Astyanax mexicanus: one gene and its partners. The protein of the gene in region 1 binds, or shares a complex with, the protein of each later gene. Links are inferred from orthologs where the notes say so. Each region holds a gene or a part of one and is shown on either strand. Other genes may lie near its edges. The genes, in order: gins4, gins1 and mcm4.

Region 1 (4,793 bases):
CTAGCGTTAACAGGTCACTTTGTCTGGTAGTAAATACAGCAGTCCAGCGCAAATTAATCACAGGTTCAGAACAGTTATTAATACAGAGATCTGTAAGTGTCAGATAGATAAAGTCATTAACTGAACCCGCAGCAGGATGTGAGCGCCCTAGCTTCGTCCTTCAGTCTCTCAGGGTGAGCTAAGCTAAGGAGGCTAATCTGATCATTAAATACAGTTTCCGCTGCGGCTGTTTTTCACTCAGACGGTTATAAATGAGAGTAAAGAGCGGATCACCTCCAGCTGCGAACCCCCGAGCAGCGGCCTGGACCGGGGCAGCCCGCCTGGAGAGAGCGGCTCTCACCGCAGTTCGGACGAGGAACCTGGACGCCATTCTGCTGCTGAACGGGATCTGAAGTGAGTCCGACTGAGAGGAAGCTTATCTAAACCAGCTTCCTCTACAGAGAGCGGAGGACTCTCCTGCCCCTGCTGTCAGGAGGACTAATCCACTCATTACAGTTCAGTTCATACACAGGGGTCAAATAACTACAGTACAAATACTTATTTACCTTACTGAAGTAGAAATGTTGATTTTCTATCTATACTTTACTGGAGAAACAAGACCTTTAACTTCTACTTCTTACATTTACACACAATTATCTGTAAGATGTACTTCTTACATTTCTCCACTTCACACTGCAGCAAGGATATACAGCTCTAGAAAAAAATGTGACCACTTCAGTTTCTGAATCAGTTTCTCTGATTTTGCTATTTATAGGTAAAATTTCTGAGTAAAATGAACATTGTTGTTTTATTCTATAAACTACAGACATTTCTCACAAATTCCAAATAAAAATATTCTCATTTAGAGCATTTATTTGCAGAAAATGAGAAATGGTCAAATTAACGAAAAAAGGATACAAAGCTTTCAAACCTCAAATAATGCAAAGAAAATAAATTCATATTCATAAAGATTTAAGAGTTCAGAAAATAAACATTTGGTGGAATAACCCTGGTTTTAATCACAGTTTTCATGCATCTTGGCCTGTTCTCCTCCACAAGTCTTACACACTGCTTTTGGATAACTTTATGCCACTCCTGGTGCAAAAAAATCAAGCAGTTCAGCTTGGTTTAATGGCTTGTGACCATCCGTCTTCCTCTTGATTATATTCCAGAGGTTTTCAATTTGGTAAAATCAAAGAAACTCGTAATTTTTAAGAGGTCTCTTAATTTTTCCAGAGCTGTAGCAGACATATGTAGCCTAGTATAAAGATGTCCATTTACATTGTACTAAATGCATTCATTTTCAATGGGCGCATATGTGGCTGACACAGGGATGGCACTGTAGTGCAATTGTTTTCAACATTTTCAGATTTTAAAGTAACATTATAGTCATTATGTCTTTTAGATTTTTTTTTTTAAGTTGTGCACTACAGGACCCTGTGGCACAGCCTAAGCTTTTGTTCTTACTGAGATCAAATATCCAACCAACCAACCAACCAACTCTTTTTTTGTAAAAAGAGTAAATAATAGTAATTAGTAAATGAATTAGTGAAAAAAAGTAGAACGCAAAGTAGTTGACGCAAAATTAAATTTATTATTTTCATGATTGTATTATCGTTCATTATTGTTCATGTTGTTACAAATATAAGATATAAAATAAGAATTGTTTGCAGAAAAAAAAACTAAATAACAATAGATAGTAAATAAATTAGTTTTATAAAATTGATTTAATGCATTTAGAATGTATTTTTATTGTTTGAATTTTTTTTAATTTCATTATTTAGATTTTGATTTTATTAAATATGTAAATATTGACATAATGATTTAATAACAAATTTTTTTTTTTTTTTTCAATTTGTCATATATCCTGCACATTTTGCTGTTTTATGTACAAACTTTCTAACCTCTGAGCAGGTTTACGCATAACCTCACCATAACAGCATAACCCACTGTTTTGGATATTATACACTGCGCAGATCTACGGAGCATAACCTCCGTGAAGAAATAATGACGACACGGGAAACTCTTGCTGTTTGGCGGGAAATCTTAGTGCGCGCTGTGTGTTGGTGTGTGTTGTTGGTCTGTGTCAGTGAGAGGCTGCTGTTAAACTACTGACTGTGTTTACAGACGCGTTCAGCGCGGTTATCCGCTGGATTTTGCTCTGTGATTGTGTTCATCTTGGTCAGTTAACCCTGTGCTTTAGGAGAAGGACGGTGTTAAAGACTCGTATCTCCGGGTACGTTAGGAACTTTGGGTCATGGCTGATGATGAGTTGTCGGACGCTGGAGATCTGAGCGGAGAAGATGAGAGTCAGGAGGACGTTCTGACTCCAGCTGAACTCATCTCCAGGCTGGAGGAGGTCAGTCGTTTCTTTAACCTTTACTGCAGAAGCTGGCGGCTCTGTTTCACCGTGCAGATCTTTACCTGAGGCTTAGGACTGTCCAGTAGCAGCAGGGTCTCTCAGCTCCTCTGCCTCTAAACAGGCTGCTTGCTCTCTGTACTGGAATAAGGAGACTCTGCTCTGAGAAACAGTCTGCTGCTGTTTAAAGCAGCAGTCCGTAAGATTTATTTATTTTAAATTGACAGCAGTTGTATAACCTACCTGAGTGAAAAGAGGACAAAATATTGTAATAAATGGCGCCAGAATGCCTTCATAAACAAGTCGCATACATTCTAAAACCAGGGTGTTTGGAGTCAATGTAACAGTGATCTGTTATGTGTTTTTAATTAATGATCATGAAATAATTTTTTAAGTTTTTTATTCAGTTTTCTATTTATTTTTTTTTGCATTTTGTAGCAAAAATCTGATGGTTTAATCATACCTACCTTCTTTTTACAAGATGGAAAATTGTATTTTATATTAATTATTTTTTGTGTTTTGTCCCTTGTTACATTTTCCCCCTTACATTAGTTTTACTTTTATACTTTAAATAGTTTTGAAACCAGTACGTTTTAATCTTTTGAGTAAGCAGCAAGGTGTAAAAAAAAGTCAGTGTAACCTTCATGTGTTTTGAATTAATTCTTTTTTTTTTTTTTTTTTTTTTTTTGCCACTAGTGATCAGAAATAAAAATACATCATTTTTTTTATTTTTTTTATTCAGTTTTCTGATTGTACAGTTTTTGCATTTTGTAACAAAAATCTGGTATACTAATGGTATAATGATATCTATTTTCTTTTTACAAGATGAAAAAAATAAATTTCATGAAACTTCCTGTAATTCAGATCATGAGAGACAGAAATGAAAAAAGAAATTAATTGAAAACTAGTTGTTAAGTGGACAAAATTAAATAATGAAATGTATTAATATTTATTAGTAATGAAATCTAATTTACCTTAAAGTTGAACTGATTAACGTTACACTGACCGCTTGTAGGTCCAACTGGGAGTTTTCGGTCCACAAAGAAACAAGCACGCGATTTTACTAGATTGTAGTAGGACATTGCTGTGAGATCAGGATGTTGGATCAACACCCCACCTTATCTTAAACTCACCAACTCAGCACAAAAGCACTGAATGAACCACAGTAATTTATCAGAACACAACAGGCATGGTGCCAATAGGTTTATATGGTGTCCATATTGATCATGTGATTACTTCAGAATCTCACATTTAGTTTTTTAGTTTTAGTTTTTTTTTTTTCTATAGAGTTTATACAAATCATGGGTTAGAAATGAGGGCAGTTTAAAGTAACTGAAATGTAAAGAACTAAGCAGAACATGTGTCTGGATATTTTTGGATATATGGTGATTTTGATTGTTATTATTATTTTTTTTTTTTGTGATTACTTTGTATTAATAAGCTGTTTTTCTGTTTTTCAGGCCTGGCTGAATGAGAAATTCTCCCCAGAGCTTCTGGAGAACAAGTCTGAATTGGTGGAGTGTGTGATGGAGCAGCTCACTCACATGGTAAGGATGGATGATGAATGGGATGTGAAGAAGCAGTATATACGTGTGTGTGTGTTAGCTTTAGGGCTAGAAGTCAGACTGCACTGCAGGGTTTTTGGATTTAATGCTTTCTAGGGCACATTTAGCCTTTTTTTATTCTTCTATCACCTCAGGAGTTCCCTAATATGGAGCTTCAGCATTCTGGTGCATAATCCTCATTTTTATAACACTCATAATCTCTGGTAGAGCTGACTTCAGGTTTCTGCTGTAACTCATCCACTGCTAAAAGTGCCTAATGGTCTTCTGTAAGTGGTATTGCCTAAAGCAGTCATCTGATGTACATTCAGATAAAACCATCAGATAAATAAGGCACCCTGTTTACCTAAATATATAATAAATAAATGAAAGCTATAGGGATTAGATGAATCTTTGTCTCATACCTTGTCTGGAAATTAAATAGTGTTTAGCCTTTATCCAACTTTTTTTTAATGTAAAAAAGGGTAGATACTAGGGTAAACCATTTCATACATGGTAATATAGTTTTTAAAAATTGAAAGAAAAAACACAAATTCTTGTAATAATATTACAATACTTAATACATTACAATACAATAATAATCGTAATACGTATTAGTGGTATTCTGTTTTTAAATTAGTCATTTTTTTATTTGTTTTGCTATTTTCTGTGAGGTTTTTATGGATTATTTTTGTAAATATTTTTATGTTTAGAGTTTATATACATAACCTAAATATTCTGCATGTTAACATTGTGATATATATTTTTGTTACGTGTTGTGATATGTAGTGTTTTGTCATATTACCAAGAATATCTTTATTGCAGAAATACGATATTGTCCACCCCCCAGTGGTACCTCTTTCTCTCTAACAATACTAACAATATACTTGCCTGCACTGTTATGGTTTCCTGAG
Region 2 (4,793 bases), on another chromosome or scaffold:
GAAAAAAAATGGATGAAAGAAAAACACTCATGTGGGTTCTACTATATTTATTCTAAATGTGGCTTACTGGCATTTAAAACACTGACATTATGCTGACTCCCTTAACCAGAACATTTTACATTTTGAAGCTGTCATGCAAAATCTTTGTATCTCCATGTGGCTGTCTTTCAGTTTATTTTATAACAGACTGATAGAAATGCTCCAAAATACTATGTTCAAATTACAGGTCACGCTGCTTCTCCATTAGCAGCCAGAGCCTAAGTGAGCACAATTAGCCATGCTCTCTCTCCCTTTATCACTCTTAATTTAGCTTAGCTGGCTGGCATCAGTTTTTACTGATTTATCAGAGCTAGGGACCTGGTGCTCTCCTCTGACTGTGTTGGTGGGTAAAAGTGGCCCAAATCCAATATTTAGTATAAGCTGTTCACACAATCTTTAATGTCAGCCATAACTGACATCTGTCAGATTCAAGTTATGCTCCTCTGGTAACAGGTAGAAAAGAGGTGGTGGCTGACTTCACACATATGGGAGGAGCCATATTCTTGCCCTACCCCTGTTAGGGACCAAGGACATTACAAATGAGGATGAAAGTTTATAGTAAGTCAGTGGATTAATTTGGCTAGGCTAAAATATTGTAAAATAAAAAGAAATGTTTTTTTTTTTTTTTCATTATGGAATGAAATCTGAAAAAATTAAACGTAAAGTTTTTTTTTTTTCCATTTCTCGTACAGCTTCTGTTTTGGAGATACTGTTTTTGTGTGATTTGAGTCATGCTACACAACTAGGTGTGTTCAGAGTCTTTGGTGGAGTGTTTGTCCAACCAGCGAAAGAAGAGAAAGTAGTGGTGTTACCCATTACACCATACCATCTCTTGTGGCTGTAAGACATCTTACCTCAATATACAGACTCTTGGGGGGCTTCATGTCTTGTGTTATATCCAGGCCTTCGTCTCCTCCAAGTGACCTCATGTAAGTGGCCAAGGATTTCTTGTACTGATTGAACCACTCCAACTGCAGTTTTAATAATAAAAAATGAAATATGTATTACCTCATTTCCAAATAAGGAAATACTGAATAACTTGGTCTTAAAAGTAAAAAACACACCTCTTCTGCACACATGTGGAAACGAATCGTGGTGGGCAACACACTCCCATACTCCCATCTGAGAGCACGGATTCGAAGGAGGCGATCATAACTGTTAAAGTGGGATAGGGGTGTAAAAGTAATAGTGAAATACTTTGATATTCATTAGATCAAGTAATAAAGTAGAAGAACAGGAAAACAATGCACAAAATATACCTCAAAACAAATATGTAGATATATTTATAAAATTCATATAAATAAATAATAGAAAAGGGGATAGAAATTACTATATGTATTTAATATACACAATAGACAATCTGGAAAACACTGAATAGCCAGTTTGTAACAAAGACATTTGCATGGTTAATATGTAGAGTATAAAATGCAACAAAAAATGCAATTTTGCTAAACTTGTGCAGAACCTTTATTATAATAATGAATATTGAATGTCCTGTGAGCAATGAATGTATATAAATTAAGACTTAGGGCTCTATTTTAGTGAACTATAGTGTATCGGTCAATTGTGGATCGCACAGCTTGATTTTGGATGTTTCGGTGTGTCTTTGGTGTCAAGAAATACTAATTCTTTTGTATTTTTTGTGTCTAACATAAAATAAACCAATCAGTGTGCCAGTCGTCGTTCTCTTCAAGAGCCAGGTGTGCTCTGACTTTGGCACGTTCATATCTTAACAGCACAGCGCTTTTGCCTGTCTCAGCAGAGGAACTGACCTGTATAATAGAGCCCTTAGAGTTACTTGAGTAGTATTAGAGCAGATCCAGGTTACTCACAGGTAGGCTGTGATACATCGCTGGTTCCTCAGCAAGCAGCAGTGACGAAACTTGATGGTTGGGATCAGTTCACTCCTGCCTTCAGTTTTAGCCTCATTACTTTTAAGAGGGTCAAAACAGATATGTTGTTAATCAGATATAACACGAAATGTAATGGGATTGAAGAAAATCACAGATGGCAAAAGGTAAGAAAGTTGGTATCTTACACATCAGTTTGGTTCTGCTCATATAAAGCTTTCATTTCTTCAAGCACCTGCCGAATGTTGTCCTCCTGCAGAGATAAATGCTGGTTATTACTTGTGCACATGTAAGATGGACTTCTGCACCCTTAATACTGTATATTAGAGTGAATGTACGCCTGTCGCAATAATTATTACACAAAAAAAACTACAATAAAATTGTATAACCATTTTAAGACCAACTTATGCCACTGATATAATAACAAAATAGCCTACTAATGCGATATTTCTTTTAAAGAGCAAAGAATGTTGATAATTAAGGATGTTAAGACATTGAACTAAACTGAACAATAAACTAAAATATGAAAAATGTAGTATATGTAGTAAATTTTGTAGGAGTAATAAGTAAAACCAAAAAATAAACATGTTCTAATAAAGTAAACACGTCAGACAATATATTGAGTTCAGCAAAAAATGATTGTAGTCATGACTAATTATTGTACAATAAGTCAATAATGTAATTATTGTGACAGACCTAAGCATAGAGATAAAGGTAGGAACTCAAAGGTAAAAACATGAAGGTGAATCATGTTGGCCTGCCTCTACAATGAGGAGATAACTTCAGAAAGTCCAGTTATTGTATTTTGCTCGTTCCACAATTAAAACCCTTCAGAAAGGAACTAAAATATGCACTAAACAAATGGTTTATTGCCAACCTAAAACCTTCAACTTCCATCTTATTCACCTGTTATTTGAGATTTAGTCATCAGTTTCACCATTTTATTTGTTATAAAAAGACCATGTATCTTCATTTTTTACCTGCTACACTGTCCACAGTGCACAACACAATAACAAAGTATTTTTCTGTTGTTGTAGTTCTTGTCATTTCTTATATTTATTGTATGTACTTATGTAGGTTAGCTACACACTGTGCAATAATATTATCAGACTACTATTATTATTATTTACTAGCTAACCTACTATCTGTGCTGCTTCTGTATCTACAGCTAGCTAAACTATATGGCTCAGCGTACCCGTTTCAGAACCAGTTCACTAACCAAGATTTAATTAAACTGGTTTAGCTTAGCATCTACTTTAGTGACATCAAAAAGCCGCACTGTTTCCTAAATAAAAACATAAATACAGTTATTTCAGCTATCACGTTTATTATAATCACATTAACCCAGGCCTATTCAGTCTGGTTAGTTGAATGGATGCAGGGTATCTATAAATAATAAATATACTCACGTTAAAAGCGGGCAGCTGGCCATCAGTCATCCGGTGAAGCTCTCGAATAAGTTCCACAGCCTTTTCGCAGAACATGATTAAACTGATATATAAAGTAGGACCTTGTAGCTTAGTTAACTAACGCTGTTTAATACAGACTGTATTTAATACAAACTGTATTCATAGACTGTATGTTAGCGTTATATCAGTCTGTGCTTCTCCCGCTGCTCCTCACACACGATTTTCGCGGCAGAATGCGGTGTTTTGATCACGTGACCCTTTCGATAACTACGGAACGCAAAGTGGGACACTCCGTCTGGTCAGAAAATCTAGTAAAAGTAAACGTACGCTTATTCCAATAATACATTAGAAATTAATGAAAAGCCTTATTTTTAATTCTCTAAAGACATGGGGCCCTCCTAGAACATGTGCAAAAAAAGTAGAAGGATGATTTCTGAAGTGTACAGCTATATAGTGTACAGGTATTTTGTGCAGGAAAGTTGATTGGATGGCATTGAATAGTACAGATGAACAATGATCCTAAATATACTGTAAAAACAATCCAAGAGTTTTTTTTTTAAGGTAAAGAAGTGGAATACTCTGCAGTGGCCGAGTCAATCACCAGATCTGAACCTGATCAAGCAACATTAAGTCATTACTTTAGATAAAACTAAAGGCAGAAAGGTTCACAAACCAGCAACAACTGAAGACTGCTAGAGTAAAGGCCTGGCAAAGCACCATAAAGGAAAAAAACAGTGTTTGGTGATGTCAGTGGGTTTCAACCTTTATTCTCAAGAAGGTATTAAAAATTAACATTTTATTTATGGTAAAGTTCATTTGTCCAATAACTTCTGAGCCTCTGACTTTTGTAGAAAAAGGTTATAATTCCTAAAAACTTAATAGGATATTTTTGATCAGCCCCTTAAATTAAACCTGAAACACTTCAATAACACCTCAAGTGTTTCATTTGAAATCCAGTTTAGTGTCACTGTCCAAATATTTAAGGACTAACAGTATGTCTGGAGGCAAATGTTTATCTGATGATCCTGTAACTAAATGCACTATTTTTTATATTTATTAATATGCATGGTTATGGGTATTTATGGACCATTCATTGTTGAGCGAAACATTACAAATACTAACAATACATTTCTGAAGATGAACACTGAATGAACACATTACAAATATAGATATAGTTACAAATATGTTAATATTCACTTTAGAGAACCTTGTGGACATTTTATACAGTTTTATTTGATGTGTTAGTGGGGTTTTGCCATGTCCACAGTGCTGCCAGGATTAGTTGGTATGGGTAATTAACACATTATTTAATTTTTCAAAATTTTCATAAGTATTTGAGGATACTTTGTCAATAATTTAGGCTATTTAGCCTATTTTTAGAAAAAATATTAAACTATTTAAACGAGCATGAGAATGCCCCATAGACTGTATATAAATAAGTATGGACAGCACAACAGGGGTTGAAAAGTGAAGCCACCACGTCTCTTACGCCCTC
Region 3 (4,793 bases), on another chromosome or scaffold:
AATTATTGCTATATATTGTTTTTTATTTTATACTTTATACTAATTTTGTGTCATTTATTGATTTATAATGTTTAAAATGTTCAACTGTCAAATGCTGAATAATAAATAAAGATAATAAAAGTCATTTAAAAATCAATATATTCCTAAAATATTCCTAAAGAAAATAACTGCACTGTCCTGTCTGTTAAACTGTCTCGTCTGCTGTATTTATTGTAGTGTTATAGTTTTATGTCGCACTATTTTTACACTTTTGCACTTTATGTTGTCTATTGTATTATTGTTCCATTTTGCACTACAGTTCCAGAAAAAACGCAATTTCGTTATACTGTGTACCTGGACTCATATGTAATGACAGTAAAAGACTCTTGACTCTTGAAAAATCAAACATTTCATGTCCTCCAAACCTTTCATTGAACAGAAAAGGATTTTCTATGACCAACTCTTGTAGCCCTTTTTCGAGCCAAGGCCTGTTAAGAGTTTACATTAACCCCTTAATGTCATCTAATTTACATAATGAAGGTAAAATTAAAACTAGCTCCTTTAAATAGTAGATTGTTCGGCTTCTACAGCCCTGTTCCCATTATTTCAACAATTTGATCGCTTTAATTGAATGTTTTAAGTTCCATATCACTAGCTTTAAAGGACTTCTGTAGCAAAAAATGCTTTATTTTCTTTTCTATAATTATAAACGTGTTTATTTATTTTTAATGCAATGTTACATGGCTTATCTACTTCCAATACAATGAGACGCACAAGTGAGTTATTAATAAAAGTATTTTTTTAAAATATGTGTGCAAGAACATGTAAAAAAAAATATATATATATATTTGTCTGTTTATATTCTTACTATATTCTTGTAAAAACTAGTGTTTTATGCTCCCTTGCTCTATAACTTTTGATTTAAATGATTAGTTTATAATTTAGATTATATTTGATATATTCACAGGGACTCCCTAGCTTTCAAAAATCGTATTTTTCCTTCAAAAATATATAATTCCTACCATAAAGGGTTAAATAACAACCCCTTATTTAAGTCACGTGGTAGCTCTTCTTTGTCGTCGATATTTGCCGCGAAAACTGTGGATCAAACCAATGTGAAACAAAGCTTTTGTTTATAACACTGATTAAAAATCGCAACTTTAGTTTTATTTTTTAACTTTGTAAGGTATATTTTGTATAAAACTTTTATAAATAGTCATTTTTAGTTGGTAACTTTGTTAAAAACACTTAATATCGATTTAAAACAACAATATCTATTTAGCTACCTCCCTCTGTACATATGGAGTGGATCGTTCCAAGTCTGCACGTCTGTTTGATTGGTCAGAATTTCCCCGCGAAAACGACGTCACGCCAGCGATTTCGCGCCACTCTGCATGTATTTGGAGAGAAGGATCCGCAGTGGTAAGTTCCTCGTGTTTTTTCTTTTGTGTTAAAAAACGCGAATAATTTAAAAACAAGCAAAAGTTAAAACAAGAGTTTTAAAGCGATTCTTTATAATTATAAGGTGTGATTTTGTGATTAACGTAGCTGGAATTACTAATCACTAATTAGTAAATATTAAAAACGTTAAATAAAGTTAGTTGAATTAGTAAGACTTTGGATTTTGATGTTTTGTTATAATAATAAAGGTGTTTTTAATATTGATATGTAGTTAACGATGTATCTGTATGTAAATACGCACGTTTTGTTGATGTTTATCTATGTTTAAACATCTAAAATACACTATTTTACTGATTTTATCTGCCCAGCAACAAGTAGTGGCAAATCCAGGTCCCGAAAGTACGAATCCGCACCGGGATTTCGCACCAACTGCCTGGGCGGCTCTGCTGCAGCTGAGCTGCAGCAGAGCCGCCCAGGCAGTTGGAGCGAAATCCAGGAGTGGAATTGCACTTTCCGCACTATTTTACTATTTTAAACCACTTTTACTATTAACTATTTTACAATTTCACTGTTTTACTTTTTCAGTATTTCAATTCTTATGAATTTATAGCGAAATCCCGGAGTGGATTCGCACTTTCCGGACTAAATTTACTATTTGTACAAACTCTGACGGTACTAATCCACTGTTTCACTATTTTACTTTATTAAGTTACTGTTTTCATTATGAACTGCTTATGGAATTGGAGCGAAATCCCGGAGTGGATTTGTCCTTTCCCGACCATTTTATTATTTTAACTCGTTTTACCAATCCACTATTTAAAAAAAAAAACTATTTTATCTACCTAGCAACTAGAAGTGGCAAATCCAGATCCGAAAAGTTTGGATCCGCGCCGGTGTTTCGCCCCAACTGCCAGGGCGGTTTAGAATAAAAATACTAACTTAGTGAAGTTTGTTATATACTAAAATTAGTAATTTTTTTTTAAATAAAAAAAGTGCAAATCTTGGCAGCTGGAGCGAAATACTGTAGTGGATTTGCACTTTCCGGACCTGGATTTGACTGTAATGCCTCTTTTTAGCTCTTTGTTTCATGTGGAAATAATAAAAAAAAAACTTTGCTTGTTTGCTTACTTTACTGATTTAACATTAACTAACTATGTGTAAAAATGTTTTTATTTTAGTGAGTGTTCAAAATGTCTTCCCCATCCTCGAGCGCCCGCAAGCGAGGCAGGAGCAGCAATCCTCCAACCCGTGAGTTTAAATACAGTTTATTTATTATTTTACAAGAGAAATCTGGTGTGAAATGCACTTAGGTTGTAATAAAACATGATGAAGAGTGTTAACTTTTAACCTTCGTGTATTTGAAGGTAAATACAAGTACTGTCACGATTATATTTTGTAAATCATTTTATCTATATTATAAATTATATTATAATTTTATGACTATTTAAATACCACTGATGTCATAATAAGGGAGAGCATAATATAGCAATTATACTCTTAAAGACAACATTTGAATTAATCATAGATCTATATTTTATTTCTTCACCTGCTGCAGTCTGTTCACACTGTGTATATGGAGTCACTGATCTTTTGTCTGTTGTTTTAATAGTTTAATTGTTTTATTTGTTTGTGTGATTTTAGCTGGTAGTGAGGATGTCCTGTCTCCGTCTCCTCGCGCTCGTGAGCCGTCTACAGGAGAACTGCAGCCCATGCCGACGTCCCCGGGTACAGACCTGCAGAGCCCCGCGGTACAGGACACCTCCCTCTTCTCCAGCCCCATGCCCCGACGCTCCGGTACTACATCTATCTATCCATCCATCGCCAGGGTTCAGGAGAGAGTACTCAGCTAGAGCTTTGGGTATTTTCTGGAGCACAGAAAAGTTATTTAGCAGTTGGTGCACTAACAGGCATTGGGGGAATGCAGGCGCTATCTTGGCAGGTTGATTGAATCAAACGGTTAGTCGCATATTTGCAACAACAGGCGTTAAGGGGTTAATTCTAGATACTTAAAGGTCTAATTCTAGCAGAAATGAGACGCATGCATAAAGAAAGAAACAGGAATATGTACTAAATGCTTTGTTTGATCCAGTTCCTCAGAGTGAAGTGGATATGAGCTCTCCTCTCATATACGACACACCGAGCAGAGGAACGCCGGCTCGACAGAGACCTGATCTGGGGTCTGTCAGAAAGGCTCCGCAAGTGGACCTGAACTCTGACACGGTGAGTGTTAAAGTCTGAGTTATGATTTGATTAGTTCGATTAGTTTAGATCAGTGTTGTATTGATTAGTATTGAGTTATTAGTGTGTGTGTGTGTTAATCAGTGTGAATTTTCTCCTCCTATCAGCCGTCTGGAGAAGCTGCTGTAGCCAGTGAGCAGGCCGCTGGTCAGAGACTCGTCATCTGGGGAACTGATGTTAATGTGGGAACCTGTAAGGAGAAGTTTCAGGTGAGCTCAGAGCAGCATCACACAACATTTCCAAACCTTCTGTTGCAGAACTTTCCTCTGTAGAACATCATAAAATATAATAACACGACACACGAAGAAGAAATGCTAATATTGGAAATATTTTTCAGTTTTTAGCGTGTAGCTACGCACTTTCACCTCCTAGTAGATTTCACATTTCTCCTAATGAGTGTGTGTTTATCTACTGAGCCATTCACTACTTTCATTCACTCTTCATTTTTCTCCAAACTGTCGACACATCACTGCTCGCTCTCTCAGTCTTCAGTTCATTTCCTCTATTAAATCTCACATTTAAACTCAGTAACTTAGAACATCACATTATTCTCATTTTAAAAAGCATCAAACCTATAAAAAAAAGCTCTATATACTTTGCCTAATACTTAATTCACACTCATATCAAACACAGATCAGCCACAGCATTAAAAACAGCTCCTAACATGTATAATCACCTTTATTGTTTCTGCTACCCAACATTAATCCTAGATTTCTGTATTAATCGTTTGAATAAATGTGACTGAAGTGTGTTTTGTATTTTTATTGGCAGCGCTTCCTGCAGCGATTTATTGATCCGGAGTCCCGGGAGGATGAGAACGCAAGTCTGGATCTTAATGAGCCGCTTTACTTGCAGAAACTGGACGAGGTGAGCAGAGTGCTGGAGTCGCATGTTGAAAAGTTCAACTTAATTCAGTAATATTGTGTACATGTAGCTTCTTAATCTGAGCTGGATAATCCAGGTTATTTGTAGAAAAGAAGAACAGTCTCTACTGCCTCTTTACGTGTTTCTCTGTGTGTGTGTGTGTGTGTGTGTGTGTGTGTGTGTGTGTGTGTGTGTGTGTGTGTGTGTGTGTGTGTTTGTGTGTGTTTGTGTGTGTGTGTTTGTGTGTGTTTGTGTGTGTGTGTTTGTGTGTGTGTGTGTGTGTGTGTGTGTGTGTTTGTGTGTGTTTGTGT

Evidence for each region.
Region 2: the proteins of gins4 (region 1) and gins1 are in contact, whole or in part, in a crystal structure (PDB 2E9X), measured with the Homo sapiens proteins. The link is inferred for Astyanax mexicanus from reciprocal best matches to the Homo sapiens genes GINS4 and GINS1. Residues at the interface, in NP_115712.1 of Homo sapiens: Met55, Glu59, Glu83, Arg84, Arg86, Tyr87, Leu89, Ser90, Leu93, Arg94, Leu97, Glu101, Phe104, Glu125, Glu126, Phe129, Glu132, Phe133, Asn136, Thr137, Tyr140, Leu141, Val144, Ala145, Leu146, His148, Met149, Pro150, Pro151, Asn152; in NP_066545.3 of Homo sapiens: Phe24, Leu29, Leu33, Met36, Tyr40, Leu69, Leu70, Arg73, Thr76, Val77, Leu80, Tyr81, Leu84, Arg88, Trp92, Glu109, Glu110, Trp113, Asn116, Tyr117, Ser120, Leu121, Tyr124, Ser127, Leu128, Gly129, Gly130, Asp131, Leu134, Ile136.
Region 3: gins4 (region 1) and mcm4 share a complex: the UniProt entries of both Homo sapiens proteins name them as parts of the CMG helicase complex. The link is inferred for Astyanax mexicanus from reciprocal best matches to the Homo sapiens genes GINS4 and MCM4.

What each region holds. Positions count from the first base shown.
Region 1 is NC_064419.1:27,448,235-27,453,027, reverse strand, and holds the start of gins4 (DNA replication complex GINS protein SLD5), read left to right. Parts: upstream 1-2,013; 5' UTR 2,014-2,236; coding exon 2,237-2,338; intron 2,339-3,798; coding exon 3,799-3,885; intron 3,886-4,793. Other genes in the region: cytochrome c oxidase subunit 5B, mitochondrial, read right to left, coding at 274-370. UniProt on the Homo sapiens protein: Required for correct functioning of the GINS complex, a complex that plays an essential role in the initiation of DNA replication, and progression of DNA replication forks.
Region 2 is NC_064414.1:30,474,357-30,479,149, forward strand, and holds the start of gins1 (DNA replication complex GINS protein PSF1), read right to left. Parts: upstream 3,550-4,793; 5' UTR 3,374-3,549; coding exon 3,299-3,373; intron 2,143-3,298; coding exon 2,078-2,142; intron 1,971-2,077; coding exon 1,872-1,970; intron 1,195-1,871; coding exon 1,104-1,194; intron 1,011-1,103; coding exon 894-1,010; intron 1-893. UniProt on the Homo sapiens protein: Required for correct functioning of the GINS complex, a complex that plays an essential role in the initiation of DNA replication, and progression of DNA replication forks.
Region 3 is NC_064413.1:412,554-417,346, reverse strand, and holds the start of mcm4 (DNA replication licensing factor MCM4), read left to right. Parts: upstream 1-1,310; 5' UTR 1,311-1,401; intron 1,402-2,558; 5' UTR 2,559-2,570; coding exon 2,571-2,628; intron 2,629-3,021; coding exon 3,022-3,174; intron 3,175-3,469; coding exon 3,470-3,600; intron 3,601-3,725; coding exon 3,726-3,827; intron 3,828-4,389; coding exon 4,390-4,485; intron 4,486-4,793. UniProt on the Homo sapiens protein: Acts as a component of the MCM2-7 complex (MCM complex) which is the replicative helicase essential for 'once per cell cycle' DNA replication initiation and elongation in eukaryotic cells.